4 linked regions of the Caenorhabditis elegans genome follow. The protein of the gene in region 1 purifies or fractionates together with the protein of each later gene. This does not show direct contact. Each region holds a gene or a part of one and is shown on either strand. Other genes may lie near its edges. The genes, in order: unc-40, madd-4, sax-3 and vem-1.

Evidence for each region.
Region 2: the proteins of unc-40 (region 1) and madd-4 purify together in Caenorhabditis elegans (affinity purification with western blotting, with the first as the bait; 2 studies listed by BioGRID). This does not show direct contact.
Region 3: the proteins of unc-40 (region 1) and sax-3 purify together in Caenorhabditis elegans (affinity purification with western blotting; one study listed by BioGRID). This does not show direct contact.
Region 4: the proteins of unc-40 (region 1) and vem-1 purify together in Caenorhabditis elegans (affinity purification with western blotting, with the first as the bait; one study listed by BioGRID). This does not show direct contact.

What each region holds. Positions count from the first base shown.
Region 1 is NC_003279.8:5,687,143-5,695,122, forward strand, and holds the start of unc-40 (Netrin receptor unc-40), read right to left. Parts: upstream 4,362-7,980; 5' UTR 4,299-4,361; coding exon 4,280-4,298; intron 4,080-4,279; coding exon 3,996-4,079; intron 2,459-3,995; coding exon 2,278-2,458; intron 207-2,277; coding exon 1-206. Other genes in the region: npp-7 (RanBP2-type domain-containing protein), read left to right, coding at 5,124-5,319, 5,394-5,554, 5,648-6,253, 6,462-7,154, 7,432-7,980.
Region 2 is NC_003279.8:8,937,438-8,945,724, forward strand, and holds the start of madd-4 (Protein madd-4), read right to left. Parts: upstream 4,851-8,287; 5' UTR 4,768-4,850; coding exon 4,654-4,767; intron 4,612-4,653; coding exon 4,450-4,611; intron 3,914-4,449; coding exon 3,797-3,913; intron 3,751-3,796; coding exon 3,639-3,750; intron 3,589-3,638; coding exon 3,387-3,588; intron 3,131-3,386; coding exon 3,125-3,130; intron 2,841-3,124; coding exon 2,702-2,840; intron 2,232-2,701; coding exon 2,032-2,231; intron 215-2,031; exon of another isoform or gene 117-214; coding exon of another isoform or gene 67-116; intron 1-66. Other genes in the region: fip-6 (Fungus-Induced Protein), read right to left, coding at 8,228-8,287. UniProt on the Caenorhabditis elegans protein: Component of an extracellular matrix cue that is involved in the guidance of dorsoventral midline migrations and in the specification of postsynaptic domains at neuromuscular junctions (NMJs).
Region 3 is NC_003284.9:3,461,101-3,469,064, forward strand, and holds the start of sax-3 (Protein sax-3), read right to left. Parts: upstream 4,828-7,964; 5' UTR 4,786-4,827; coding exon of another isoform or gene 4,756-4,785; 5' UTR 4,743-4,755; coding exon 4,670-4,742; intron 2,766-4,669; coding exon 2,410-2,765; intron 1,866-2,409; coding exon 1,605-1,865; intron 1,400-1,604; coding exon 1,236-1,399; intron 604-1,235; coding exon 218-603; intron 1-217. UniProt on the Caenorhabditis elegans protein: Required to confine migrating sex myoblasts to the ventral muscle quadrants during their migration through the body and for multiple aspects of sensory, motor, and interneuron axon guidance.
Region 4 is NC_003284.9:8,085,259-8,091,673, forward strand, and holds vem-1 (Protein vem-1), read right to left. Parts: upstream 3,317-6,415; 5' UTR 3,304-3,316; coding exon 3,181-3,303; intron 3,122-3,180; coding exon 2,870-3,121; intron 2,654-2,869; coding exon 2,477-2,653; 3' UTR 2,297-2,476; downstream 1-2,296. Other genes in the region: dao-3 (C-1-tetrahydrofolate synthase, cytoplasmic), read right to left, coding at 205-583, 706-879, 1,169-1,291; catp-5 (Cation-transporting ATPase), read right to left, coding at 5,117-5,273, 6,076-6,254, 6,301-6,415. UniProt on the Caenorhabditis elegans protein: Transmembrane protein required for the axon guidance of a subset of ventral nerve cord-associated interneurons and motor neurons. May function with the netrin receptor unc-40 in axon guidance.

The sequences.
Region 1 (7,980 bases):
GCTGCCCTTTTGCTAGAGTTCGATCAATCGCTTGCAGTTCAAACTTTGCCAAATCCGCCAATCGTAACGTAGCTTTTCGACTCAAAAATGTCCACGTATCACTTGTTTGATCGCTTTTTGTAGTCACATGTACAGCGCATTGATATGTTCCTTCTTCGGCACTGCTCACTGATTCTATCCATAATGAACCATTTGACATTACTTTTCTGAAATAAAAAACTTAAATATTTAGACAAATTGCATTTAATATGTCTATTTCAAAATTAAGATGTTATCTAGTTGAAGAATTTTCAAATTTATTTTGTTTTTTTCTCTACGTAGAGCTCTACGTACTACAGTATTCTATTATACATTCATACAAACATTTCTTGCGAAAATTCGAAGCAACTATATTGCTATGTTCTCAAATAATTTCAAGTTTTTTCCCAAACTTTTTTCTCTCATTTTTATTGCGATTCCCATCATCGTTGGCAACCATATGGTTGTGGGTCGCTTCCTATCTTTTCCAAGTACTTCTGTGGTGTGCAATTGACAGATGGTCTCAGTGAATGAGTGTGTATGCGCACATTTACGTGTGTGCAACGCGCTCATCACATCTACGAAGGACTACCAGAATTCTCAGACCCTGATTTGTAATACGCACTTTCGTGCTTCATGGAATAAGAAAATAAATATTCGCCGAAGGCTATTTGCTACTAAATGTGAACAAGTTTTCCATTTTGAAAAAGTAAATCCAACTCGGATAAGCTTATCCCTGACCAGTTTCCATTCATACTTTGATGATTCATTTGTATTGAATGAAATTAAAACTGCAAAAATTGTTCAATGCCATTTGCATAGTCTTCAACAGAACCTTGAGCCTGTCAATCAATCGTCTTGACGACATCCACCCATCGTTTCTCAATTTCGATCGAATCACCCACAGTCGCCTCTGATTAATGACCATGACAACAGAAGAACGACTACAGGCCCGGCAAAGACAGCTTCAGGAAAACAATTGTTGACCTAATATTACCTAGCTCTAATGCCAGAATAATAATGGTGACATGGCATTATAGTAGGAGGAGATACATGACAAATGGCAGGAAATTGTCGCGGATACGTCTTTGGCGGGTGGTCTACTTCTGTTGAATGTTGTGAAGGCGAAAATAGTATCTGGTTACACAATATATAGATACTTTGTAAGCTTAAACCAACAACTTTAATATTAACAGAATCTTAAAGTGGTAATTTCAAAGCAAGGAAATTGAAAAATTGGAACATATAGTTAATTGTGTGAACTTTTTTGATTCCAATGTGTTGATTCTGTTCTGATTGTACTTTCGGTTTTAAGCTTAATAACTTTCGGTCTATTTCCGGCAAATTTCATAACATTTCAGTGGCCATTGGAAACTAAAACAACTACAAGTTATGAAATATGCAGAAAAACAATTTCTTGCACAACAAAAGCTTCTCAACAATAGACTCCAATCCTCTCGGTCAAAAGTGTCCTTCCTATGCACATATGCATGAATAAGCCAGGACGAAATTTTATATGTGCATAGAAAGACACATGTAAAAGTCACTACTTCCACTCGCTTGCATGCTCTTGAAGGGATTAGGAATAGAAGAAGGAGAAGAAACAAGTGTATATACACACATTCCGATAGAACGGAGATACACCATCTAAATGAGTTATATGTCTCAATGTCATTTGCATATTTTCGAAACTTTGACGAGAATCCACAAAGGAGTCCTTGTGAAGAATGTGAGCATCCGATTTTATTGGTGAAATAAGTTAAGAGTGTTCAAACAACCATATACTTGGAAAGAAGGTTAAAGATTACAAGATAGCACAATTGATATCTTTTTTTTAACGAAAAAGTCAGCTTCAACCCAATTTAAAAGTGTGAGCTTTTTCTACCGAGGTTAAAAGTGCAGTAGGGATATTGTTTAAAACTGATTTTATACTCAAAATGTCCAAATATCGTAACAAAAATTTCAAAATATTTTGACATGTTTTTTGAAATCATAATTTTGGAAGTCGATCAAAAAAATGTTTTTTCTCTACTAGTTTCATATTTTAATTATGTTTCAATTTTTCGTATGTAAAAATTCTAGGAGTTCGCCTATAACAATTACCTAAAAGTCCACATTTTTGCAAAATTTGCCAAACGAATGACGGTGAATATTGAAAAATCTAATTTTTTTTAAAAACTATTATAAGTGTATTGACACTGAACATCAATTTAAATCGAAAAAATTTTAAACCGAACAAATAGTTGTAAAAAAACTCACATTCTAGAAGATGTCCGTTCACTGAGCAACACACCATCACGTTTCCATTCAATTCGGACATCGTGTACAAGTCTCTCATGAGCCAGAACATAACTACATTCTAATAAATGAGACGATGATTCCATAACAGTCACATTCCGTCGTGGTTCCATTACGAATTGAAAGCCAAGATTCCGAGCATCTGAAAATAAGGTTTTATAAAGGATTTCCTTCAGAAAGTCATTCGTATTGTTTTTTTTATCGAGAATCTTATGACCATTTATATTCCGAGAAAGGTTTACGAAACGTATACTATTATAATAATAACCATTCATTTTTCTTCCTCAGTCATTATTCCATACGTTCTCACATGCTCGATAAATTCTTTTGTGATACATGCGGCATCGTAGAACCTTTATTTTATGAATTCACGGAAAAAAATGCAGTTAAAAACCGAAAAAGTCCTTATCAATTGGGGAATACTGTAAAATGCCACTTATCGCGTCTAATTTTTTTGTTGATATTTTTCTGTACCTTACTAGTTAAACTAAATTATCCTTATTTTTTTCCAGAATTAAAACATATTTTCACAACTGATTTATTATTTTGTAGCTTTCTCAGTCTTCAACCTTGACCATTCCGAAATAACAATAAACCCAAAGCGTCCTTCTTTCTCTTCCGCCGCTCAAAAATTGGAGCCAATTAGTTCACATTTTCGTAAATGTTTAGAAACAGAACTTTGCTACTCATCAATAAGAAATCATCATCATTTAAATGATGAATGAATGTATTCCCGGAGCATTATGCAATCAAGGGAACACCATCAACTGAAGACCCGTGTCCCTCATATTGCCTCATCCATCAATTGAAATCGAAAGGGGATGGAAGAGAAAGATTTGTGTGGTGGAAGCTAAAGAAGATGATGGCATTTCGTTTTGTGTGTGTGTGTTTGTGTCACAATTCATTCCAAGAGTAAGAAGAAAAGAGAGAGAGAAGACTTCATGTGGAACCATTGGGACCCACACACACAATAATGAAATGAACGAATCTGGTGGATTTTGTGTAGAGATTACAATCTTTCGAACATCAAACGCCTAGAGAATCTGGGGAATTGAGCTATCCACTTTTGGTTTGTAGTGAAAAATGCTACAATTTGGCGTCAAGTTTTCTTTAAAGGTGGTACCCACCGTGGGGTAGTGAAATAAGGCCCCGAGTGACGGAATGAGGCTTCTCAAAAGCGGAGTCAAAATTAACTAAAATTTTAATTTTTCCCTAAACCGCCATAATTTAGAAAACGTTCAAGATGTCTCTCTTCTGGGGACAAAAAAATCGCTGCTCCATCTTTAAGGTGTGAAGGAACTAAAAGATTGCTGAACAACTCTGCTAGATCGGAACTCGAAAATTGAGAATAATTTTGAAAGAAGGTTTTTTCAAAGTAAAACCATTAATTCGACGATAAACTAAGTGTTTTATAGGTAAGAGTATTAAAAAAAACGTAACTTTTCTTGGATTTGTATTATTTTTATGGAGTCAATTTTTTTTAAAAATAGCCACAAGGTAGTTCAGTGCCAAGTATTGACTTTAAGATGATTTTTATTTATATTTTTCTATTTTCAAAATTCCATTCTTGAATCGATAAATTATGTTGCCGGTGACTGACACCTTGACAGAATGCCAGATGGTCATCTTCCTTCCCCCATTTTAATATATTTTTGAATTCAAATGTGAAAAACTCTCACCATTATCAATCGATCGACGATGATGTTTCCGTGTTGTGGCATGAGTAGATGACAGATAAACTGTCAGAATTATAAGAATGAAACCTGAAAATTATAAATAGTAATGAAGTTTTATTTAATTTCCTTTTGTTTTCTTTCAGAGGTTCGGGTTTAGATACTTCGTTTACTACGAAATTATAGGATTTTAATTTTATTTGTATCAACACAAAAGTGATAACAACAATATTTAAAACTTTTCCACGGAGAAATTATTAAAATTGATAAGATAAAAAGATGGAACTCACCGAAATGTCGCAAAATCATTTCTACTGAATGAATTAAATAACTTCTGTCGAATTATCGCATTCTATTGGTGATGCAGAGGGTCTGAAATAAATAATGTTTTTATTTACCTTTGGATTTTTTGAACACATTTTTTGAACACAGAAAAAAAGATGGAAAAGAGGTCGTTAAAAATAATTTTGAATAGAAAATAAATATATTTAACGGAAAAAGAGTCAAAAACAGGGTCGAACGTCGTCAAAAGAGCTCCAGAAGTGTCCAGCTGAAGGGGTGTGGCCTTGTGGAATGGACACTCTCTCGTTTCTCTGCACCCTCTTCATGTTGTTAATGGAAGGATAACTGTCTGCACTCTAACCTCTCAAATGTCGTTGAAAGCGTCGCGTATGCGTCGCGTGTGCGCACTCGAAAATTTCTTTTTAATCGTCTTCGCGCCATTTGCGATTTTAAATTCCTTTATTGATTTTTAATGTAATTTACACTTCTTTCCTTCGAAAATTCAATGTTGGTAAAAGGTTTTTTGCCTTAAAAATATATCAAGTTTAATGCTTAATGCTGCGTTTACTGGCGCGGCCTAAATTTAAACATTTACGATTTTGAATGATTTCTGTAGTTTTGACCTGTGTTATCGATCAATAATTCGGAATTTTTACCAAAACATATTAGGTGCATTTGTCATGTTCTTTTGGTACTTCCAGTAGTTCATTTAGGCGTTTCAAAAGTATTTCGAAAAGTGTCGTTTTTGAAGAATTTTATTTTATCGAGAATTTCTGACACGGCGCAGAAAAATTTCTTCAGTCTCTCTCAGCTTTAGTCTCAATTACGAAACAACTTTTTTCTATTTCAGAAATGTCCGATAAATCCGGAGGGTTTTTCTCATCGGTTGGCCGCTTCTTTTCTGTTGGAGCTAGTGCCACTAAAAGCAAAGACGGCGATAAGTCGAATGATGAAGGTACATCCAATTCGTCTTCAAAATCGTCTCCTTCTGCGTCTCCAGCATTGAAAAATATATTATCCGTAGATAATGAAGCTAAAATAGCTTCAGGTAAGTTTAATCACATTGACTTTCATATCAGTACATGGCACTAGAATTTCAACTCATTATTTTTTAAATTCCAGATGAAACTTCAGTGAATACCTCACAAAACCATCGCATCGGATCACGTCTTCGATACCTCAGTCCGACTGCATTGGATCGGCGTACGAGTGCATCCAATGGCTTAGAGATCGATGTGGACGCTGTTCCAGATATTTTCTTCAGCACTCCTGCGGTTTCCACGGTAAATTTTTAAAGTTGTCTTTTTATTAATGTGTTTTCACAGAAAAATTAGATTAAACCTGTTGATAAATGCTATCGAAATATTTTTTTCCAGAATCGCAAACGTCAACTGACAGAGCTCGACAAGCAGATTCTACCACAATCGTTTCGAAGTGAGAGTGTGAAACGAAGTCGATTCCTGAACAGATCATTACTGGAACCAACTCTTAATAGTTCAATGAATAATGAGAGGAAAATGGATATGACTTGGTGTGGAGAGTTAACTGCTAATCATTCTCCTGCTTCATCTATCACAAATTTCTCACTTTTGAGCCGACGAAGTGGAGCAACTACCAACGGGTCATTAAGTACAAGAACTCAAGAAATTTTCAAAAAGCTTGAAGGTGCAAATACACCCGCGAAAGAAGTTCAGAGAATGTCAATGCTTCGAGCTGGCATTGCTCGACCAGAAAAATGGGGATCGTTTAGCGAGAGCAAGGTTCCAAATGGTTCAGCAACTGGCACACCACCACCTCCATTGAAAAAAGCTGGAGACGCAATTCCATCTCGTATACAGCTCATATCAAAGACTATGGGAATGTCCGCTCGACGTGCTCCTTATTGGACGGATTTAACTAGGAAAAGAACATCGTCGAAAAATGGAGACACTGGATCTTCTGATTCAATGAAATCATTGAACGGAAACTTTGCGACTGCAGAGGTAACCTGGATTTTAAACACTTGAAAAAAAATGATACAAGAATTATGAAAAAGTTTTTCTGGTCAAATTTTCTAAAATTAGACACGAGATTATCACAGTCTAGTATTTATTTTTAAACGTTTCATTGGGAAATTTTCAGAAATTATAACAAACTTAAAATTATGATAATTAAATTATTCGACTTTATCTTAACTTTTTTAAATTTCAGCTGAGCTCCTTGTTTTCACTGGACTTACCAGCTCCAAAGAAGACAGCATCAACTGCATCCACGACCACCATAAACTCGTCAAATAGTCGAAAACAACATGCCTCAATTATGAAGGGACCTGATGGGAAACCAGTTAGTAGAAATACGTTCAAACTCTCTGATGACATTGAAGAAGTTGATGAGGATTCACAGAAACTTCCACCAATTCCAACAACAACTCTGCAGAATCCACAACCTCTGAAATTGGCGCCAGAATATGCACCCAAGCGCGGGTTTTTGGACGATCTCGCGTTCTCATTCACAGCTCCAGTTGATTTAGTTACTGCTGTTGGAACTGCAAAAACCGCAAGTACGGCAAGCTCACATAAAGCATCCGAGTCCAGCAGTGAGAGCAATGCAGAATCGACAGAAAAGCAAACATCTGAAAGCAGTGGAAACGAATCAGATTCCGAAGAATCAGAAGACTCAGAAGTAGACGTCGGTGAGGAGAATGGTAGTGAAGTGAAAGAGTCGCGACCACAAACTTCCGCTGACACTATCTCATCTGCCGGAGGATCCAATCAGAGTTCAAAGGATTCGTCTCCAAAAGTTGCCAAAGATGCAGAACCAGTTGTGGTTGCTCCAGCTCCAGTGGTCGATGCTGGTTCTAAAAAATGGGAATGTCAATCGTGTTTCTGTAGTTGGGATTCTACGGTAAGAAATTTTGATGTTGATACGAGAAAACTCTAAACTGGGTCTACTATGTTTTACTTAAAATTAATAACAAAATTTAGTCTACAGTTTTCGTGGGTTTAGGAAAGCGTGCGCGAAATGTTCCATTTTTTCAACTAAAATAATTGAAGTCGTCACGAGTCTCGCTGAAAAGTACATCATGTGTCTTTAGAGCATAGTCTCACATTTTCAGAAAATTGTCAAGTATAAAAATTCATCGGAAAAGAAACTAAGAAATTGACAAATAATTTGTTTTCAGCTATCGGAATGTGGGGCATGTGGGGAAGCACGTCCAGGAGGATCTGGTACTGGTCCAAAAAGTCAACCAAAACCTTCCGAAAAGCAGCTTGTATCAAATCTCAGTAGTTTCGCATCGAATACACCAAGTACTGTCAAGTTCGGATTTGGATCAGGTGCTTCAACGACAACAACTATTGCATCGACAACTTCAAACACAATTCCATTCGGAAGCGGTTCTTCAGTGGCACCACTTTTTGGAGCCCCCAAGACAACTGCTCCACCACCAACAACTGTTCCTGCCACAATTCCAGTAGCCCCTACTACTATCGCATCTGCTCCTGTTGCTGCTGTAACTTCATCCTCCAATGGTACACGTGTTGATTGGGAGTGCCCTGATTGTATGGTTAGCAATAAGGCCAGTGATGATAAATGCCCATGTTGCTCACATGTCAAATATGCATCTGCTGAAGCATCTTCGAATGTTTTTGGTAATCGGGCCTTCAAACCACTTTCTTCCACAGGGTCTACTATTTCATTCGGAGTTGGTGGAAGTACAGCAACCACCCAA
Region 2 (8,287 bases), 3.3 Mb from region 1:
TTTCGCTTTGAAAACTATTTTTCCTATCGATTTTACAAAATGAGGAAGGTGACTGAAAAAACTTACAAAGCACTGACACCCAATGGTGCTGATAAAATCAGGAGTAGGGGGAGCATTGTGCTCAAGTTCCAAAATTCCAAAACCTGTATCCAGATCTTCTTATGGAATACTGAGTAGGTGCTAAAAAGGATGGAGCCTCCTAGTTTTTGCTCACAAAAGAAATGGAGGAAAAACAAAAAGTTGAGGGTTTGGGCACGCCCAATTATTGAATAAAGAGCAATAGGGGGTGGGGCTTATTGAAGAAGAAGAATAGAAGCACAGGACCCTCCCGTCGACCCATCAATTTATTTTCGCAGGAGAAAAGACAAGAGAAGAAGGAAAGAAGAAGAAGCAGAAGGAGACGTTGCTTCTACATACTCTTGAATGTCGCCAAAAAGAAAAGGAGCAGCGGCAAAGAACAATAGTAGTAGTTTTAGAATATTTTGGAGAAGAAGAAGCACTTTTCCAAAAAAGATGTGAAAATCTCCAACCGTTTAGTATGTTTATTTTATGCCTAGGGATATCACTTTAATGTGAAAGAATGCAGAACCTTGCTGCAAAACTGAAATTTGAAAATGATGTCTTTTAAGGCGGTTCTAGTTCCAAAATTTGAAGACCTATATTTCCAATTTATCTGGGGACCACATTCAAGCTTGATTTTAGAGCGTGATGTTCTCATACCAATATTGGTGAGTTTTTCAATAATTGAGGGCGAAAGATCTTAATTGTTTGAAATATCAAACGATTGAACGAGTTTGTCTAGCTTTTAAACCCGCGGGAGACGATAACTCCGTGCCTCACAGGGTCATTGATACATATGTAGACCTTTCAAATTATTTAGGTGGTCTGGACTTGTTTATAATTTTTTTTTCTAGTTTTGAGAATTTGAGAAGAAGTAATTCAGTGAAAATTCAGTGCAGTTATTCCGCCCATGCGTAAAAAAATATGCACAAAATCCCATAGGATATTTCAGAACAAATTGCCAATGGGTTTATTTTGCTCCTAAAAACGATAGACCATGTTGTGAAAAACAAACGATCTAATGAAAAAACTCATGGCGTCTCAGGTATCGTCGCCAAATAGAAATGGGACCACCAAGACATGGAATTTTCTGACCTCACAAAAGAAAACACGCGTTTCAGTTATCACTGTACCTTTTCTCATATACAGTAAACCTCGTCACTTCCTGTCGTAGTTCTTTCTCATCCAAAAAACTGGCAACATTCTCACATAAACTCCCATGGGTAACTTCAATAATCCCTGCTATTCGACCATTTTTTACCCCCTCTATTCCACTCCGCTCATCCTTTTACAGCTTAAAGTTAAGACGAGTAGTAATTTTTCTTACTCTTCCCTATTTTCATCCCTTTTTTCAAATCTTTCTCACTCTTGGAATCAAGTACAAGTACAACTACGAAAATGGAGTCATCTCTACAAAGAAAGAGTTCTTTAATACACTGAATTTGTAATGGAAGACAAAAAGGAAGAAGTTTAGTAGGAATGTGATTGATGAGAAATTCCGAAAAAGAGTACAAATGGACAAAATGTGTATATTGAAGAAACTGTTAGTTGTGTGTAGAAGGGGGATTGCTCAACTTACTCGTTTTACATCGAACTTTTAGACATGAATAGTAAAGCTTCGATTAAAAAATAATTATGTAGATCTGAAATTCTTTTCTAGACTATACAATTTTTAAATAATATAACAGCAAGTATTTTCATTTAGCAAGTACCAAACGAAACTTGTTGAGTTTGTCGAGCTTGTAAAATTTGCTTCGTACACTAATTTTGGCAAGCTGTTAACTTTTATGTAGGCTAGAATTAAATGAAAAATACCATTTTTTGGAAGTTGAATTTTTTTTTAATGTAAAAACCAGCAATTTCAGTTTCAAAAAAGTTGTTGCAAATCTCATCATTTTACGCTCACACATTCTACCTAATGATTTGGCGTAAAGTGCCTTTACCAATTCTCCACTTCTTAATGGAGCTCACCTATTTGTTGCAATACTACATGGTATTCCAGCATAACATGTTGTCTCTTGTCTTGGACGTCCTCCTTCATCACAATCTGAACCTCCAACACATGCCACGTGACGTCGTCGCACTCCTTGGCCACACGAAGCTGTACATTTTGACCATTTTCCGGCTTCCCATCGTCCACATGATGTTGATACACAGTTTTCTTCGGCTGCCTGAAAGTTATCATTCAGGAAAGTTTTAGAGAGATTTCTAAATTATTTCTGAAACATGCAAGTAAACAAAAAAATTTAGGAAAGTTGTTTTTTAAAAAGGCAGATGATAACGCTAAGAAATCTGGAAAATTTGCGTCTGTAACAGAAAAACAATATATACAATTATAGTGGCAAGGCTTTTAAACGTTTTCGCCCAAACAATATATTTTTTGGAAAAATACTTGAAGTCAAATCTGGAGTAGCGTATTCTTTATACTGACCCTATAGGCCGAAATTCAAAAAAAGACCTCTTAAAAAAACAATTTTTCAACAAATTTTTTAACCGCCATAAAAATGTTTCTGAAAATTTCAAGAGGTGTTATTATTAAAATTGGTGTTTTGAAAACATTTTGAGAATGCTCCGCTCAAGCATTAATAAGAAGATCTCTACTTAACATCTGAAACAATGGCTAAAACTTTTAACAACTAACCGGTCTTGTTCCATTTTCACAGAAGGTATCAGGAACATGTACTGTAACATTATGCGCCGTCTGTACACAGTAAACCTCTCTTTTTCTTGTCCCTTCACCACAATGTGGTACACATTCTGTCCAGTCTGCAGCCATCCATCTGCAAGTTTTCAGTTCATTACTTCAAAATCCATAAATATTCAAATTGACACACAGCGTCTAATAAAGCAAAGAGATGTCAGTCTCAAATTATCTAAAAATTGAACTTAGCCATTCCTAAACGATAAAAATATTTATCGAGAAAATTCAAATAGAAGTGAATGTGATATAGAAAACAAAAATAAATTGAGAAAAAATAAAAAATCAATAATCCCCGTCATTCTTATGGGGCACACTCTTTCAGCTTACCACACCCTGATTTGGGATCTTTTTGGAAAAACTCACCGGCATCTGAAATTATTAATTAAAATCAAATTAGCAAATCTAATTTAGGAAACGATATAAAGAATATTTCTTGAAAAAGGAAATTGGATATTCAAAAACAATTCAAATTATTAAAATACAAAAGTTAACAGAAATTTGAGTTCGGTTTTTTGTTTTTTAGAGGTTTGTGCTTTTCAAAAAGTACAGACAACAACTAGAATTTAAAACTATTTACGAAACTATGCACTTAAGCATAAATATAAAATAATTTAAAATTTCAAACCTTGAAGGGCAAATCAGCATTGGGCATGGTCTTGCTTCAACTTTCGGTCTCAATTTATCAGCACATAACTTTTCAGGAACAACTCTTCCAGTTATTGCATTTACACATACAACAATTGGTTGACTAGTTGAAGCAATTGAACGTCCAGCACCTGACCAGTCAACTATATCATCACAATTTGAAGCGCATGCAGTGTATTCTTCTGGAAATCTTAGTGTTTTGAGTGATTGTTGTAAATCTTTAAAATTCTACCGGAAACTTTCCAAATGAACTTTCCATTGTCACACGTATCCCCTCGTCCTCCACATACTCCACAGGCATCAAATCGAAAAGATGAACTAATCAATCCGTCACAGCCAACGATCTGAAATTTGGGGAAAATAATAATTAAAACAATTATATTTAGTAACCTGACAAGACCCTTTACTGCAGACAGCTCTACTTGTTGCGGCCTGACACGGCGTTCCATCATCAACTCTCCAAAGAAAATTTGCACCAGTTAAGCGTGATCGGCATACCACTTCGCACTGAATTTTAGTTCTTATTTTTTCACTTATAGGTGCTTGAAAACTGTTCATGTATGATTCACAAACTTTTCAAAAAAAATTCAAACTTTTCAACAATTATTTGGCTTTTTTAAATCTACACTTGAAAACTCAGTTTTCCGCATTTTTTAAAGATTGTTTATATTTAAACACTCTAGGGATTCAAACCTGCAGTACAACTCGAAATTTCTCAGGAAGTCCACATTTTTGGAAAATTTGGAAATTTACCACAACTTTTACAAAATTGTTAGAATGTTATGTATCATGATATGTGGATATTATTGAAATTTAGACCGTTAAAAAATTAATAGTTTGAGAATCCGAAATTTTTTTTTCGACATTCATAAAAAATTGAGAAATCGAAAAAACAACACTCTTGCTGCAGGGCTGAACGTTTTTGCGTTTTTGGTTATTCGGTACATTTGTCCAAATTATTTTTTGACTACTACTACAAAAACTTTTTTTAAATAAATGTTTCTTCACAAGAAAACATTATTTTGAAAGTGGTTCATACATACCTGTCCCCTGGAGACTATTTCCTCTCCTCCACATATTGTATCCCTAGCTAATCTAGATTTTGACTCGCAAGTTTTTTGAGCACAAACTTTGAATCGAACTGATTCTCCTGAGCATTTTGATGTCAAACAACGTCGTAACTGACGAGAAACTCCGCCACCACACTGAAAATTTTTTTTTTCTGAATAGCTTCTCTGTCCGATTACCGTTTTAGTACACGAACTCCAAGGACTCCATGCCGCCCAACTAAGAGCATCCACGTGGAAACTCGCAATAAGCAAGTAAAATAGTAAAAATACTACGGTATATGAACACTTCATTTTCATTCATTTTACACTTTGTTTCATTGTTTTTTTTCCTTTTTTTGTGTAAAAATTAACAAACGCTTGAATTGTCCTTGGCTGCAAATATTTTTTTGGAAGTTTTATAAAAAGAAAATATACAGATGCCGGAACTTGAAGAAAATATTCGAATTTCAAATTACCAGTTAGAAGAGAAAGAATGAAATAGAGATAAATGTATTAAAAGATTTATGTGGGCTTCAACTATTTTTTGGATAGGAAAATTAGAGGGTTCGAAGAAATAGTTATAGAAGTTTTCCACTTTACAATAGCACAGGTGATTCGCCGTTTGTAAAATACTTATGACCTCCAATATTTTAGATGCATTTTGCAAATCGCGAATTTCGCCGCGGGACCATTAACATTTTAGCAGTATTTTGGTAATCGCGACTCTCGGTGATCGCAATTTGCACAATATTTGCGATTTTGCAAGTATTTTACTATATCGCTGGTGCCTCTTGTAGAAGCGCGCGAACTACATTTCATAAGTATTTTAAAACCCGCGAATCACCTGTGAGTTGGTTGAGCCAAATTATAGCACTTTACCTCTGATTAAAACAAAAAGAAATTTAATTAAAAAGAGTAGCTGTAGAGAAAAAAAACATTAACGTAAACTAAGTAAGTGGGCCAACAATCAACAAAAAAAAGCAAGAAATTACAATAAATATTTGGCAAAATTAGTTTGAATTCGTAGAAATTTACTCTCCTATGAACATGTGGTTTCTCAACCCATTCCAACATTTTTTAGTAATTATTTCTAAAATTAGCAATTCATTGATAAGTCGTGTTGAGTAACTCCTAGACAAAAGTTTTTGATAGGAAGCAACAAGGCGAATGGCGAGCCGGGATAGAGGTAGTAACAAAATTTATTCAATGTACTCAAAATTATCTGAAAGAAACAGGCTAAATTTACCTGGAATATATGCCAAATTTTCCAGTTTAGTAATTTATTACTCGTTTTTTTTTTTGGAATTTAGGTACCATCTTAGTCGATGGAACACAAGTTTTGTAATTTTTTTTTAATTTTGAACAACAACTACGTTATTGAAAGCTTTTTGAGGAGTCTCTTGGAGAAGTTTTATTCGTTTAGACCATGATGCAAATCAATTCAAAAACTTTTTAATCAATTCAAAAACTCCACTACTTATTATATGAAAGTTACAAATATTGCAATGGTTAAACTTCGTTGCTCAGGAGAGAAGAAAAGCCAAAAGAAGAGGAGAATGTAGGAAAAAATGTGGAAATCAAATCAAAAAGTGTCAAGGAACACGTTGGTATTCTGACTTCCAATAGACTCGGGCAGCACACTTGGGAAGGAAAAATGAAAATGGAAGAGAAAAAATATTCATGATACCAGGTTGTAATAAAAACTCCAAAAACGATAACTACAAACTTCAAAAAAAGAGCTGAGCAAAGGTTAACCAGTGTCTGACAAAACCCATTCTTTCAACCAGGCATAGGTATTCAATAGTAAACGTTTTTTTTTCTTTTTTTTTGAAAAATGCAGTAAATCGGAAAACTAGGGGCAATTCAAAATGGGAAATCGACGACCAATGGGATTTATGGAATGAGGACATGACTGGAAAAACAAAGAAGAACTGCAAAAAAAAAGAATTGAACTAATTTTTTGGAAAACACAACTATTATAACTGAAATATTTTTGCAGAAGACTATTGAACAAACTTGAAAAGTAAAAAAAAAGTGAGAATGAAAAATTGTAAAAAGAAAAAAGAAATAAAGACAATAGAGTCACCCCTACTTCTTTTCAGGTAACATATTCTGCGACTACAACTCATTTTCTTTTAAAATTTGAAGGGGAAGGTTTTTGAATTCTGACGTCTGAATTTTGGGTTTTTATGAAAACATAAACACATTTCTCACTAAACTCTGGTAAATCTATTCTGATCGACGCCGAAGTCAGGCTAATCGACGCAGGTACCCCCAGCTTCGGCATACGTCGACGTCGATTAGAAAATTGTCTAAAATCGACCTGGATCATAAAATACTTTAAATTTCATAAACATATCTGGATAAATTTTAAAAAACAAGGAAACGGGAAACAAACAACTTTTGAACAACATTGTGCCCCAAAAATGGTTCTAAATTTGGAAGTTAGTAAACTAACTTTGGCGGATTTTGACAGATAGTGCGAGTCTGATATGAAAATTACAGTAAGTAAACTTCATTTAAAAAAGTTATGAAAAATTTGTTTATTAAAATATAGAAGCTGAAAAATTTTGAAAAAATTTTGTTGAAATACTGCCAAACAGAGGGAACCTAGTTAAGGTCTTCCTGTTTGTAGGGGCGCTGACTTTTTCTTCTAAATCGGGTTACAGCTCCTCCCTCCTACAAAACAAAGAAGGGAGCTTTGTTTAAAAAATGCAAAAAATCTTGGTTTTTCAACGGGAAATGCCTAGACGAGGAACACAAGACCAAGTTATGGGAGTTCCAGTCAGTGGGATGGCTAAAAACTGGCTCGGGAATCCAACGAAAAGAAAAGTTATGAATATATAGACTCTGTGTTAGTTTTAGGGAAGAAGGAGGTCCCAGGAGAACCAAAGGACTCCGGAAGACAAAGAAAAAAGAGGAGAAGTTGGCGGGGTGGCGGCTCCAAGAGCAGGAGCATGAAGAAGAGGATGTGCTGGTTCTGCTCCTCGAGCATTCTTATAAATGTTGTTCCTCACTCCTTTCCTTTGGTCCCCTCACCCATTACACAAAAAAAGATGAAGAAGCAAAAAGACACTCTCTTTTCGGCAAAAAGGCGCCACTTTTTTTTCTACACTGATTTTGACGCCTTGTTTTATTTTTCTATTCTACTTTTTTCTTGCCGTGCATTTTCAAAGGGACCGGAAAACATTATTTTTTATGGATCTTTTTGGAAGGACAACCGAGATTAGTTTTATGGGTACAGGAGGTAAAGGATTATCAGTATAGGACAGACAAACACTTGGTCCACAACGATTTATTGAAGAAGAATTGGCTAAAACGAGAAATAAAGCACGGACAATTTTTACGTTTTTCAGGTCTGGAAAGTTTTCTAGCGTACGGCATGTTTTAGCCCATTTTCAGACAGGTACAGTAGACAGAACAATTTATAACGATAGTGAAGAAATTTCTTTCCAATGATAAACACCAAAGAAAGAAACGGATAAAAAGACAGGAAGTTAGAGGGAAAGAAAAATATTGAATTTTCTGGTAAAATACAACTGATTGTTTTTATACATTGTGAACAATTCTACTTACATGTTATTGATAGTCTTGTGTTTATGAAAAAAACAAAAACCTCATTTTTGCAACCCATTTCAATATATTTAAAACATTTTATTTAATTGAAAAAAAATTAAAATTCCAGAGTTAAACCATTAGTCTCTTTTATTAAAATAGAGAGAATACAGTAATAAAATCCAGTCGTCATGTCATTCCTAATTGCATCCATTGTCTATTTCTTTCTTCCCCAATAGTTTTGCCTATAATATCCATTGTATCCATTATATCCTCC
Region 3 (7,964 bases), on another chromosome or scaffold:
AATTAGAATGCTACTCAAGCAACGCGGCGCACTCTAAATAGAAACAATGGGGGAAAAGTCGGGGGCCAAAATGGCTGCGCGGATGGGTTTGGAAACAAGTTATGCTAATCAACTGAGGGCAAGATTTATTTTCTTTTTCTTATTTGCTCTTTTTTTTTTGGACACGGCCTTTGGTTTCAAATGTTGCCTGAAATATGAAATAAATACTTTCACTAACCTTTAGTTGTAACTTTCAAAGCTGCCTTGCTCAACGAGCTTCCTGCCGAGTTCATTCCAGCGCACACATAAGCTCCCTCATCAACTTGACGAACTTCCTCAATTGTCAATGTTCCAGTTGGTGAAACTTTCGTTCTACCATCAGCGGACACATAACTTGGGAAAAGAAGATCCTGTTGGCCTTCCTTGCTCCAAAAATAGGCGGGACTCGGTTGACCGACCAAGGTGCATTCAAAAGTTGCCGTGCCTCCAGCTGGAACTGACTGGTCTGCTGGTTTTGTCTGGAAGGATGGAGGTGCCTGGACACGAAGATGTGCAGATGCTTCAAGAGTTCCCGCTGGATTTCGTGCATAGCAAACGTATTCACCTTCGTCTGATGGTTGAACTCTGAAAAACGTGGGTATGAGAAATTGTATTTAAGATTCGCATTTCTTTTCAGAAATTTGAAAAGCTCAAATTATTTCAATTTTCATTAAATTCTATAAAATAATGTTCCCTTTGATTTTTCAGTTTTTTCTCGATTCGCAATTTACATTGAAATTTCATTTTGAAACTTTTTATTATTTTAAATTGAAACGTGACCATTTTGTGATTTTAAACTTAGTATTGTTTTTTATTTTCTAGTTTTTACAATTGAAGTAGTAATGAAATATATATGCGTATAAATACTAAACACTTCAGTGCTGAAACATTAACAACTTTTTGGGGGGACGAAATCTATTGGTACCTAATCATTTTTTTTGTATAATGCGACTGTTTTCCAATAAGTACAATAAGTATAGGCTTTGTAAATTTTGTAAATCCAATACTTTCCCATTTAGATGCCTAAACTTTTCAATAAAAAGGCTCGCAAACAGGTGTCCAACAACTATCATTCATCAATGTATTTCAGATCATAAAAAATATAACCTAGATCTCCGAAAACGGTTATTAGATTATGTCTCTTCGGTGTCTCTTAAGAGATAACTAAATCCTTTGCAAGATGAGATAACACCTCGACTTTCTCCCACTTTTATTACCTTTCGATTCTCAACCCCCGATTATCCTTGGCAATGTATGCACGTGTAACTGGCATCGGCTCATTTTTGCGTTTCCACGTAATTTGTGGTTGAGGATCTCCAGTCACACGACAATCAAACAGCACTGCGGCTCCGACGTCGACCGTCATGTCCTTGGGTTCTTGCTGAAATCAACATCAAATGAATAGTAATACTAATCATCGAATTAGTAAGATTGAGAATAGAATACAGGAAGTTACAAAACCCCCTGTCGACATTTTTTTTGTTAATCTACCAGTCATTTAGCATTTTCATCGGAACAATGAAATTGAAACGACCTTGAGTTACAATTTAAATTAATTTTAAAAGGACTATCGCTTCCACACGTACCTCAAACTTTGGTTTCTCAAAGACACTCAATCTTGCGGGATTGGACACCCGTTCTCCGACCATGTTGTTGGCAACACACTGATAAGTACCAGAATCGCTTCGATCGACCGGATCAATGATGAGGTTTCCGTCAGAGTGTAGAGTGTATCGTGGCATGTCTTGAATTCGGAGCTCTTTGTCGTCTTTCCGCCAGCTCACAACCGGCTCCGGGAATCCACGTGGCGGACTGCATTCCAGAACGGCCATCTCTCCACCAAGAGCCTGAAAACAATTGAGTAACGCTTCTGTGAATAATTATTTTTTAATGGTCTAAAAATCGCGTTGACAAATTGTGCAGTGCGGTTTACAGTTTTTGAAAAACTGACGAATGAAGTTTTTTGTAACATTGATGGTCCAAATCTTCGGTTTTTCGGGGTTACCAAAAATTTTCAACTGACAAAATAGTGATAATTTTTTTTTTCTGTAGTTTAACACTAAAAAATGAGGTGACATATTTGAACTGACTCAGAATATGCCGTTTTATTCTCTATTTGTGCGGCACCCCAACTGTTTAACTGACAGCATATGTCTCGAATGCTTTTGAAGATATTAAGAAGTTCAAAAACAATAAATTTACAGAGAAATTTAACAAAACTGTGCTCAGTTAAAATTTTTACAAAAAATCCAATTTGACCGAGATACGAACTGTCAGGGTTGAGCCATGGAAATGCCGCAGTAATAGAGATTATAAGGTAAACTGTCAAAGTAGAAAAGTGCAGGATTAAGTGAAAAAATACGTAATATTATTCAAAGTATTAAACTTTACCTGAACTGTTCTTGGCCGAACTCGAAAGTCTTCGCGAAGCATCGCCAATTTTAACGATCCTTCGTTCGACTTCACTTCTCCGTGCTCGTTGCTGGCCACACAATAGTACGCTCCCGCATCGCTGTCTTTTCCGTTTTTTCCACTATTCACTTTCAGAAGAAACAGGGATCCCGTGTCGAGAACAATCCGGTGGCTGTTCACTTGCTCCTTATTCGTGATTACGGGCTGTCCATCCTTGTACCATGTGATTTTGGCGGTAGATGGCTTTGCACCACAGTTGAGGGTTGCTGGCGATCCCCTAGATACCACCACATCGATGGGATGTTCGATTATCACGGGAGCGAGATTTGAGGCATCTGAAATTATATTCAAGATTTGAAAAGGTTCAAAACAACATCATTCCCCTGTTAGAATTTTTTTTACTTTCCTCATCTCCCATTCATCTTATTTCCACATACATCAACACTTTGATTTTATCCATCTTGACAATGTGAATAAGAAAGGAAACTTGTCCAAGTGCATTAAATCAATCTGACCGATCCGGCACGCGCAATACTGTCACATCTGTATTATGGTGTCGAAACGAACACCTTCCCTCACCGATTTTTCAGTAGAGATGTGCGACACTATTGTCCTTGACGGACGGTAGGTAATAAAATGATTCACTAGGAATTTTATCAAAATTTATGTATGTGTGTGTGTGTGTGTGAGTGTGGTAAAAACCTAGATAGTACATTAACGGCTGGTTTATTGGGTGTCGGTGGTCTATTACATAAGATTGCCATTGACCTCCGACGGATTACCCATCTTCTCCCATCTGCTTCAAAAAATATCAAAAAGCCATTTTGAATCACTTGTTTATGGCATTCACCCTGACACTGCTGCGCACACACTTAATAAAAATTTCAGCAGGCCGACTTGTTTTCCTCCACTTCAAAATACGGACCACTGTTGTTTTCCACTAGTAAATTACCAGACCAAAGTGTGGCTAACAAGCTGCCGGATTCAACAATTTAATTAGCCTGGCTGTCCTTCTGTCTCTTCTGTCACCTCTTTAACCTTTCAACAATCTAGCGTGCCAGTGTCAAAATGTGCGCACGCGAGTAAACTATCCATGAACCAATGTATTGTACTCTGGCTACAATTTAATGGCCGTGTTAACCTTCAAAATATTATACTACGCTGCCTGCCCGCCTTTTCATCCATAGGCAAGACAAAACCAAAGAGCTGTGAAGATGTACACATATCTCATCCTGTCAACACCCAATTTCACAATTCGCCCGTCATTCTTTCGCAACACATTGGTGTTGAAAGCTTCTGCTAAAAAGCAGGCTGTCTTTCTAAAACATGAGATGCAACTGAATATTTTGGACAGCGCCAACAGCTCATTAATAACCTACTAGTCTCTGGGGAGGGATTTCAAATAGCTTCTCATCTTCTATCAACCGCATGCTAATGATTCTCAATTTTACGGATATTCGCATGCATCTTAAAACTGTGCTAAAATGTTTAAATGACCCAGGTTGGGGCAATTTATCACATTGAATAATGACTTGCACATTGCACAAATTACATTGTGGAAATGTGGAAATGTGGAACAAGACAAATATCGAGAGTCTGCGGGTGGTCGCTCCCAACTGTTTCTTATATTTTCGTTGCAAATTACACTGGCTCTGGTCGCTGTACAAAAAGACTTATTGTTTTAAGAGATTAGCATTTGAATGGTGAATACTTGAGAACACGCGCCTCAATGAGACTAACTCCTCTCATTCATTTTCTATACCATTTATTCTCCCCCCGTCCTATTCACTATTGTTTTCTCAACATTACCATCCAAAAGCGGGGCTTGGCTCGGCCAAGAGGGCAGATGGCAGTCCAAAACGATAATCGAATCTTTTTACACTATAGTCGGCAAACGAGCTCACAATCCAAGCAGCGAACCCGCTTTTGGTGTTTGACAAAATGAAGAGTCATGTCTAATAGCGCAAGAGTAGAAAAAGCAGCGAGTAAAGAGCATTTTTCCAAGATGGAGGGCATTCGTTTCCGCGCATTCAGTCAATCTTCGTTTTAATCGCTTTCTTCGACATGGGAAATACAACCCAACCTAATGGATTTTCCAAGTTTCCAAGTGAATTCAAAGAAAACCCACGAGTGGATCGAATAGCGTGTCTTGTTGGCGACGCGTTTTTTTCACCATGTAACTTGACACTTTTGGTACATTCTTAACTTAACATTTTTTTTCTAGAAAAAAAAAACCAACCTTCGCAGAAGCTTCGGATTACTGCTTGCAATACCAGGAGGATAGTGCATAACAGCGTTTTTCGATTGAACATGATCTTGTTTTATTCAATCTGTGTCCAATTTCAAAGGCTGCATCTAATTGTGGCGGTGTTCTGAATTTCCAGTTGGGAGACACCTGCAAGAAAAACACAAAAGTAATCAAAGTTATTGGCGGTTGTTTTAAGAGTGGGCGACAAAATGACGGAAAGAGAATGAGGGAATATAAAAGGAGAAACAAGACAAAATAGGTGATGGGAAAAAGATGGAAAAGGGCGAAAAAAGCGTGGCCCTGGGTGTAATCATTCATCTTTGCTAGGGTGACACTCGGGAGAATAGATTTAGAAGGAAAAAAGGAAAAGACACAACAAAGTAATTGAAAAGTTGACGAGCGTCGTCGTCGTCGTTTTCAAGACGCGAAGACGATTTGTGCGTCCGTTTTTGCGCATTTTCGGTGGTGGTGGTGGTGGAGCGATTCGGACGGAAGCCGACCCTAAATTGGACTAGAGAGCCACATTCTAGAATGAAGAACAAATTTAGTCTTCTACGCGACGGAAGATGTTGGACAAAAAAAAATAAAGAAAAAATGCACGGGAGGCAAAAGTAGCCAGCAGGAAGACAAGCAACAAAAAAAATGAGGACGCAAAGTTAGGAGGCAAACGTAGTGAGACTGGTTAAAGATGACGCGCAGAAGGACGGATGAAGGATGGATATAGAAGATGAAAGAAAATGAACAAGTCGATTTTGAAAGGATTTTCTTAAATGCGGCGAGGCGTAATCAAAATTTGGTGTAGTGAAAAGGCAACTTGAAAAAGGAAACCTACTCTGACAAAAAATATAAAAAATCTTTAGTACTAAGTTCGTGGCAGATTGGGAAGTGTGCAGGAGTTGTTTCAAACTGCACAAGACTCCCGAAAAGCTATGCAAAATTTTATTTTACGCAGGAGTTGTGCAAGATTGTAGTAAGAATCCGTTGAAGTTTCAATCTAAGTAGAACTTCATCAAGTCTATATAGGCGTTTTACTTTACTTGGGAAATTTGATTTTTGCCAGAGTATCAATAAAATAACTATAGCTACAATTTGAACATGGAAATTAAAAACTTCAAACACAGCAAAATGGCCAAAATTAGGAAAATACCTTGAAATTAAAAGAAAAACGGATTTTCAACATCACCAAATGGTTCAAAATTTTTATACATACAAAAAGCTTTCATTGTTTCTCTAACAACCAAAAAGAAACAAATCACAATTTAGTACAAATGCATTTGCAGAACATTTAAAATGAGGACCGTTGAGACGAATTGCTAGAAGGCGTAGACGCAGAATGTTAGACATCAGATTTCCTCTTCAAGGTGTGTGTGCAATGCGCGGGGAGATAAACGCGCAAAGAGGAGTGAGACAAGTATCGATTTATGTTGTGCCAGCGATTGAATAATACTGATTAGATAAACTATCTGGCAACAGGCGGGCGAATAAGAAAAATCAATACGCTTTATTCTAGACAAGAAAGTACTCGAGAACATATCAAAGCTCTCAACTCAATAAGGTCGTCAGAAAGCTCATAATTGTCAGATAAATAACCTAAATAATGCGCGTCAAGAGCACGGCGATGACGGATGTCCATGTCATGCAAGCGGCTCGATACGGAACGAAACCGCATGGAATATGAGGGGATAGCCGGGGCTATACGTCGCCCCCTTCCCTGGTTAAGTAATTATTCCAATTCGTGGCCGCCCTCCTCTCACATTCGACTACCCGTTCATTAGGTCCATTGTAGACCGAACCTATGCCCATGGACCAACGAGGCAAACGATTGGGGGACGGGAGGACGACGAAGAAGAAGGAAAACCCGGCCCTGTCATACAACATCTGTCGTGTTGTGTCTATACGTTGTCAATGAGCAATAGTTACACTTGTAGTGGAACCGATAAAATTCGCAAGAATAGGTGGGGAGATTCGAAGAGCCTGTGATTTTTGCGGGGAAGCAGACGGTGGGGAAATGTGGAAAGTAAAAAAGTGAGAACCAGTGACAGGAATTGACCATAATTTCGCAAAGGTGTCGGCGGGGCGAGAAGCTGGACAATAAACTTTATGGCACTTTACAAAGTGCGTTTGTTCGTTGAAATGAGAAGATCACCTCTTTTTCCGAAAAGCAAAAAGTTCAGAAGAAAGATGGCACAATAACCAAAAAGAAAAAAAAAAGAAGCAAAAAATGCAAAGAAAAGTGTGATGGGATGGGAAAGTCTACCAGGGAGAATAGAATTGTGGTCCGCCGCAATTCGTCATGGGGTCCACTGGACACCTGCTCGACCGGACGACGGGTCGATGGCGTGAAAAACGTGGATTGGAATGGGGGACGTCAAAGAGGGGCACGAAAGTGTGCGCCAAATGATTTTTTCCCCCTCCCATCTTTTCTCAATTCCGCGCTCCTTTGCCCCGCCAAGAAGTGGGTCGCCGGCGGAGCAAGTGGTCAGTGGCAGACGACGGTGAGCAAAAGTGGGTTATGCAAATATTCCTGCTCTCTCGGTGATATTGAATCTCTCTTTTTAAATCCAAAGAAACATGAGGTGCGTGAGAAATTATGATATGGAAGTTTTTAATACATGCACGTATATTTTTCGGCAATTTCAAACTTTCAGACAATTTTTGAGCACTTTTTCAATTGTTTCAAATAGAGAACAAGTTATTTTCAGATAAAAAATTAATTTTCCATTTTTTGTAACTAAATTTTTATTTAAAAAAAAACTACTTCGGGGAACATGCCAGACTGGCTCATTTTGTAGAATTGCCAGCCTGCATTTGCCGCGCACCTTTGGCACAAATGTTAAAGTAGCGCGGTAGGGAGATTGGTGAAAACTACTCCTATGGTGCTAAAATAACTAAATATCTTTGTAAAATATTTCAAAAATTTTCAAAGGTTTTTGCTGACTGTCAAAAAGTGGCAAATACTGAGTTTTTGCATTTTTTAAAATGAAAAATTAGCACTGTCGCGTTTTCAAATCCCCACAGAGTTTTAATATTAAAATTTGAATTTTTTTTTTGATTGACAACGTCCAAAAAAGTAACAAAAACTGAATACACACGTTTGTAAAAATGAAAAAATTCAACAAAAAAAAGTTTTAAAAAGTTCAACTGTGTATGATATTTAGTCATGCGCCACTTTTAAACGATTTTATACCTTTCTAGAAGATACTAAGAAAAATGCTTTAAAAAACAAGACAGAACATTTTATTCACTAATACACTACATCTTGCGTATCAAAATGAACCAGAAAACA
Region 4 (6,415 bases), on another chromosome or scaffold:
ATTTGGGCGTAATTATGAAAAAAGCAACGCGAAATTTGTTCAATGATGAATTCCAAAAAATCAGGATATAAAAACTTTCACTATTTTACTATAGTCAGATCTCAGCTCGGAATAACCACGTTTGCTGAAGTTGAAATCAATCTTTTGATATCTGTATGGCCAGTACTGTGCACTATCTCAAATTTAGGTTTATTGATAATCTACCTTTGACGAAATGTTTTCTCCCAATTGCCACAATCAAAATATCTGCTCTCAGGCATTTCTCCTTGAGATTTGGAGTTTTTGAGTGGCAGATTGTCACAGTTCCATGATGCCACAAGAAAAGCGCAGCGGCTGGAGATCCGACAATTTTCGAGCGTCCCAAAACAACCACCTCCTTTCCAGACACAAAGTTGGCATCACCAGTTGCCTGTTGAACCAAGTACAAGCATCCAAACGGAGTGCAAGGAAAGATCGTACGCTGGAGTTCTCCACGAGCCAAACGTCCAGCATTGATACGAGTCAGTCCATCGACATCTTTCAATGGGTCAATCAAGTCGATAACAGAGTCTGCGTCGATTTCGTGCTTGCAGTCCAGTGGAAGCTGAAATTAATAACTTGCTATTATTGTTTAGCTTCCGATGTTTTTTTTTAATTAACTGAGATGTGTTTTTTTTCCGTTATAAGTTAACATTTCAATATTACAACTTAATCCGTTATATTAACCTGAATGATAATTCCGTCAATCTCGTTGTCATGATTAAGAGCCATAATCTCTCGCTTCAAATCTCCTTGAGTGATGGTGTCTGGCAACTTAATGAGTTTTCCATCTGCTCCGATTTCCTTTGCTTTTTTCAGTTTGGAATTAATGTACACATTGGAGTCTGAACGATTTCCAACCTGCAAATTTTGAGACTTTGAGTTATTCAGTATAACAGATATCCCCTCGGATATTATTTGTCTTGTTACGAAATAAAAGCCGGTATCTCAAAAGTACACCACAACTACAAATTACGCTCTGCAAAACTTTCAAAATCTGTTTTGTAAGTATGCAATGCACTTATGTACGTCATGAACTCAAAACACAGATTGGACAGAGATTTTCATTTTCATATATTCAATTTAGAAATATTATTAAGTTAATAGCAATGCTTGAAATAAAATTATTATCAGTGGTAAGCTTTCATACCTGAACAATTGCCAATACTGCATGAAAATTTGGGTGGTGCTCACGGGTTTTTGCGATTTTCTGTCCGACATCGTGAAGAACCTTTTTTGAGTACTCGAGTCCACTGACGATCTCCGCGACCATTCTAAAAAATAAACAAAGTAATAATCAAGTTGAAAAATACGTCAAGAAAACAAGAAGGGGAAGAGTAAAGGAAAAGAGTACGAAACTCCTCTTGTACTTGGCTATTCATGGGAAGAGACTAGTGCAGAAGTCAGAGGACAAGCTGATTGGAAACTTAGCACATATTCACATTTCGATGGTGGGGGACAGAGTGAAAAAATAAAGCGTCGAAAAAGTTGAATATGCATAGCGGTCTGTTGTTTGTGGGGGAGTGATGAGAAGAGTTTTAAAACGGCCTGGCCTTGTTATCTTATGCTGAAGATCGCTATGATTTTATGTGTCGAGTGACTAGAGTTGCTTGTCAGCGACATTCTCATGGAAAATACATGTTCCACCGACAGTTTCGATGTCAAAGCTTCCGCATTAAACATGTTTGCTTGAAAATGAAAACAGTGTATCAAGGAACAAAATTCAATTTTTGTCACATGAAAATAATACTTTTGAAAGTTTTTGCTGCCTTATATGTTAACAATATATCAAAATAATGGACACAGTGCAGAAATGTCCAATACGAACGCGTGGCGGCGGACCATGAAAATCGATAACAGTCGGCGGCTGGCCTTGCATGCAATGCGCGCGCATAACACAGAAATCTTATCGGCATCCATACGACGCAAAATCTCTTTTTACCCAGCAATTTGCCGAGATAAAAACAATAATCATATCAACATTTTGACTACAATGGGACTGGGATCTTATCATGAAAACTTCTTACCTTGCAAATTTGAATGTGAAACTCATTATTTTTCTTATAAACTGGGAAACGTTGATTTTTAAAAAGTGTCTATTTCTATTAACCAGAAATCAAAACATGTTATTCTCAAATGTTTTTTTCAAATGATTTAAAATGAAGAAAACAAGTCTTATCAATAATGTCCTAAAACCTGCACAATCCAAATTATCGGAGCAATTGAACAGTGAAAATAATGAAGTAAATATTAAATATTAACATTTTTCAAAGGCGTACACAAAAATCATTTATTCAAAATCATTCTTCGATTTGAAAAACAACTAAATCACAGTATTTATATAAAATTTGCGAGAGATGGTGAGAAGGGATGGACAATGGGATTTCATATCATACAAAGAACATAAAATAAGATGTAACCGTTTTGGAATGTGCAACAATTATGGATTTGAATACAATTAGTTATCCTTTTTTGTGCCCTCGTCGCCACCATTGATAATCGAATCCAAAGACTCGGCTCCACGAACAAACGATTTTCTATTTCCATAATCTGCTTTTTCCGAGCTATTCTTTACCAGACGTCCAACAGTCAAGTACTTGAATTTGAACTGTGTCTCCCATTCGTTGGCGGTTTCCTGTAAAAATCAATTTAGGTTTTTTTGTTCACAATCAATCTGACCGAGGCAATATACATTTGAATTAGCTTCGATGTCATATTGATGACACAAAAAAGTTATGGTTTATGCCTGAGTTATGAATAAATACCACAAATCATAAAACAATGACTTTAAGGATTAAATGTTTATAACGAACTTTCACGTTCTTACTCATGAGAAAACTGCATAGCCTACCTGCTCGTCAGCAGAGATTCCAGTATGATCATCCCACTCGCTAGAAACAGCATTCTGGTCCATGGTTCCAAGCGCGCGGGTAGCGTCATGCCCGGCAAGTGTACCGTAGGCTTTTCCTGGTCCGTAAAATCCTTTTCCGCGAGTCACGTCATAGATAGTTCCGTTGAGTCCAAACAGAATGTGCTCATTTTTGACACCATCGTACTTGCGCAGCTCTTCAACTGTCATATCGGACATTGGCAATGGGGCGAGCTTAAGTTCAGGATTTAGAAAAAATACATGTTCATTAAAGAAGCTAATCAAATACTTACTTCTTTTGGTGGAGCTGGGAGCGGTTGCTCGGATCTGGTGAGCCAGTAGAAAAAGAATCCGAGAACGACGACAAGGAAGACCGCGTCGTACATTGTGAATTCAAACCAAGAGCTAAGATCCATTGTGACTGTACAGCTGAAAAAATGACAAACGTATAAAATTGAAACTCGAACATATGGTGGTCGTTGATAGATCAAACCATTAGTGCGAGGGAACCGTTAGAAGGACAAAACAATTCTAGACAGCGAGCCTCGAACTGGTTAAATGATCGCGATCGAGTAAGGGCACGCGCCTCCCACCTCGTCGATTAAACGGATTTATTTTATAGGTTTCAACGGATTGAAGCGGAAACGTAAGCAAAAAGATCAAAAGTTCAAACGTGATATTCACTACTTGTCTCATAAATTCAATGAAATAGCACATAGTGTGGCGGAGGTACTGTTGCGAATTTAAGAAAAGTGAAGTGGGCCCTCGAACTGAATGAAAAGTGTACTCTTCAGCAACAACAATAAATATAGTTTTGATTTTTCTCAAAACACAAAGTTTCAAAAGATGGTTCGGTGCAAAATATAGTAAAGTGTAATAGAAAATAAAAAAAACTTTTAGTAAAGTCTTTTGGTTGTCTGGAGACTTTGGAGATGACAAATGTTTACTAAACTTGATTTAAATTTTTTCTCTAGGGAAGTGCAAAAAGTCATGGAGTGTAAACACTAGGGGAAAATGTTTGTAAATAAATGAAATTTTAGTTTTTTTGAGTCTATGGCAAATATATGAAAAATATAATTCAAAAAGTGTAATCCAAAACAAGTGAGAGTTCACGAAAAATCATATTTCCTGAAACACTTATTCAACAAAATGATTTATGCAAAAAAGTAACAGAAACAGTATACATTTTGTAAAAAGTCAAAAACTAGTCACCAATAAAAACATCAAAAATCACTGCAACAGAGCAGGTGAACCCGTCGACGATGTGTGAGCGTCCTTGACTGTGTTCGTCGAACGCTAGGTCCGTAAGTTGCCGTCATTTACAGTGCAAGTGCACAAAGCGGTAAGAGAAAGAAGAAGGATTTGTTGTAAAATGAAGAAAACAAGATGTAAAAGAGAAAACGGAAGAAATTATCTCTAATTTTAGAAATTCGAAAACATGGTACATTATTTTCTCACAGATTTTCCCAGTTGCCGTCAACAATTATTCACTCAGCGATTGACGGTCGGAAATCGAGAAGAATGTGCGTTTTCGTCGCCTTATCGTTTCTATTTTATATTTGTCCCCTAATGTCTCTCGATTCTTCTTACTTTCACCACAGTCATCACAAACAATACGAGTAGTATTTGTAGCAAAGATTTTGTGGTTAGTGCCGTGGAACACACAATTTTTATCAAACAAATGTTTCACTGGGGTGCCCAAAGGTGAACAATGATTGTGTAAAAAAATAGAAACGAAGAAGAAAAAGAAGAAGTGAACCTACAAAAAGGAAAAGAAAACCCGTGCTCGGGCCGTTTTTGGATGGGAAATTGAAAATATTGCAACAGGGAGAAGCAAGAAAATGGGTAGTGGGAATTGAGGACGAAAAAAAGTTTCGGGAGAAAATTGAGTCAAGTCACAAAGCAATTCGTGGTTTGTAGGCTAAAAAGTATGAAAGGAGAAAACGGTGAGTACAAATCACACGTGACGTGTGTTTCTAGCAGATGTGTAGTAATCGAAATAAAAACAGATAGGAAACGGGTCATGGGAGTGATAATAGCAGCATGTTGAAGATATCGAAAGTCCACAGGAAAACGAGGCGTTTCTGCGTAACAAGAAATTGGATTATCGTTAAGAGGTGGCTCTCTTTTTCTTTTTATACATAACATTCTAATAATATGCAAATATGCATGTACTCATGCAGAAGACACTGACATAAGGGCAAATCTTAAAAATCAAATAACAAGGGATTAACATTTGCTCTCTATAGTCTCTTTTCTGTCAATCGATTTCGACAAATTGATCTCATCTTCAAACCATCTCGGACTGCTTCCAATTGCAGCGAGTATTTTTTCATAGGCAGAGAGCGATGGATCTCCGTTCCGAAGACGTCGCTGGCGCAGATAGCTAAAATAAATATCCATTGTTTCATGTTATTAACCTTAGAAGTTGATTTTTAAGTATTTACATTTTTTTTAATTTGAAAATTGACGATTAAACACAAATTTTTCTACTTCAGTTTCAAGTTTAATTATATTTGCAATATTCTCCAAAACTCTGAGAGTTCCAACATGTGTTTTAGATTTTTTAGTACTAAAAGAATGGGTGTAAATTATTTATATACTAATCGTACACCACCTGCAAAAAATATATGCACCTAAATACTTTTCAATATATAAATTAAATTTGAATAGTAGTATTGAATAGTTAAAAAAAAATCGTGTAATTTTTTTTTGAAAATGTTTCCAATTTTTAACAGGTGAAACGTTAAGTATATATTTATGTTTAAAATCAGAAAAAAATCATTTCAAAACTAAAACTATTGTTATGATAAATTTCTGTGGTAATCTATTAAAATTATTTTGGAAATAAAGTTGCTACACAAACACTTTAAAATCTTTCTATTGTAGTCTCCGCTTGAGAGAAGAAAACTAATTAAATCTCAATAATATGTTTCAGGTAAAATATTTTCTAAATGTTTAAAAAGTTTCTTAGTTAAATTTATACCTTCGAAATTAGTGATGTCAATTCAAAAAAATAATTTTCTATGAAAGCATTCTTTGATTCTTTGATTTCTACTTGCACCACATCGTATTCTAATCATACATCAGTTATATTCTCACGAAGTAACAAATTTTGAATATCAAATCGCACCTGATTTCGTCAAGTTTCTATATAAATATTTCTCACGAGATTTTTCTAGAGCTACCTTTCAAAATGAATAGCAACCACTTTTTCGACGAAGAAATGTTCGTAGAGCAAAGACAGGAAAACTCCAGCCAGTGAAATTGCGAGGAGAATAAAGCGCATCGATGTACTTGGAACGTAAACGAATCCCATCAAGTTCATAAGGAATCCCATGTTTGTGAAGATCATCACCATGTTGATCTAAATCACAACACTTTTAAAATTATAAATGTGCAAGTTGACATACGGCGCCAATAACAAAAATGATTCCACAAAGAAGCCAGTTAGTGAACACAGAACGACGATAAGGATGACCTTTAGAGTAGACAAAAGCATAACCAAGATACATACAGCAACTGGTG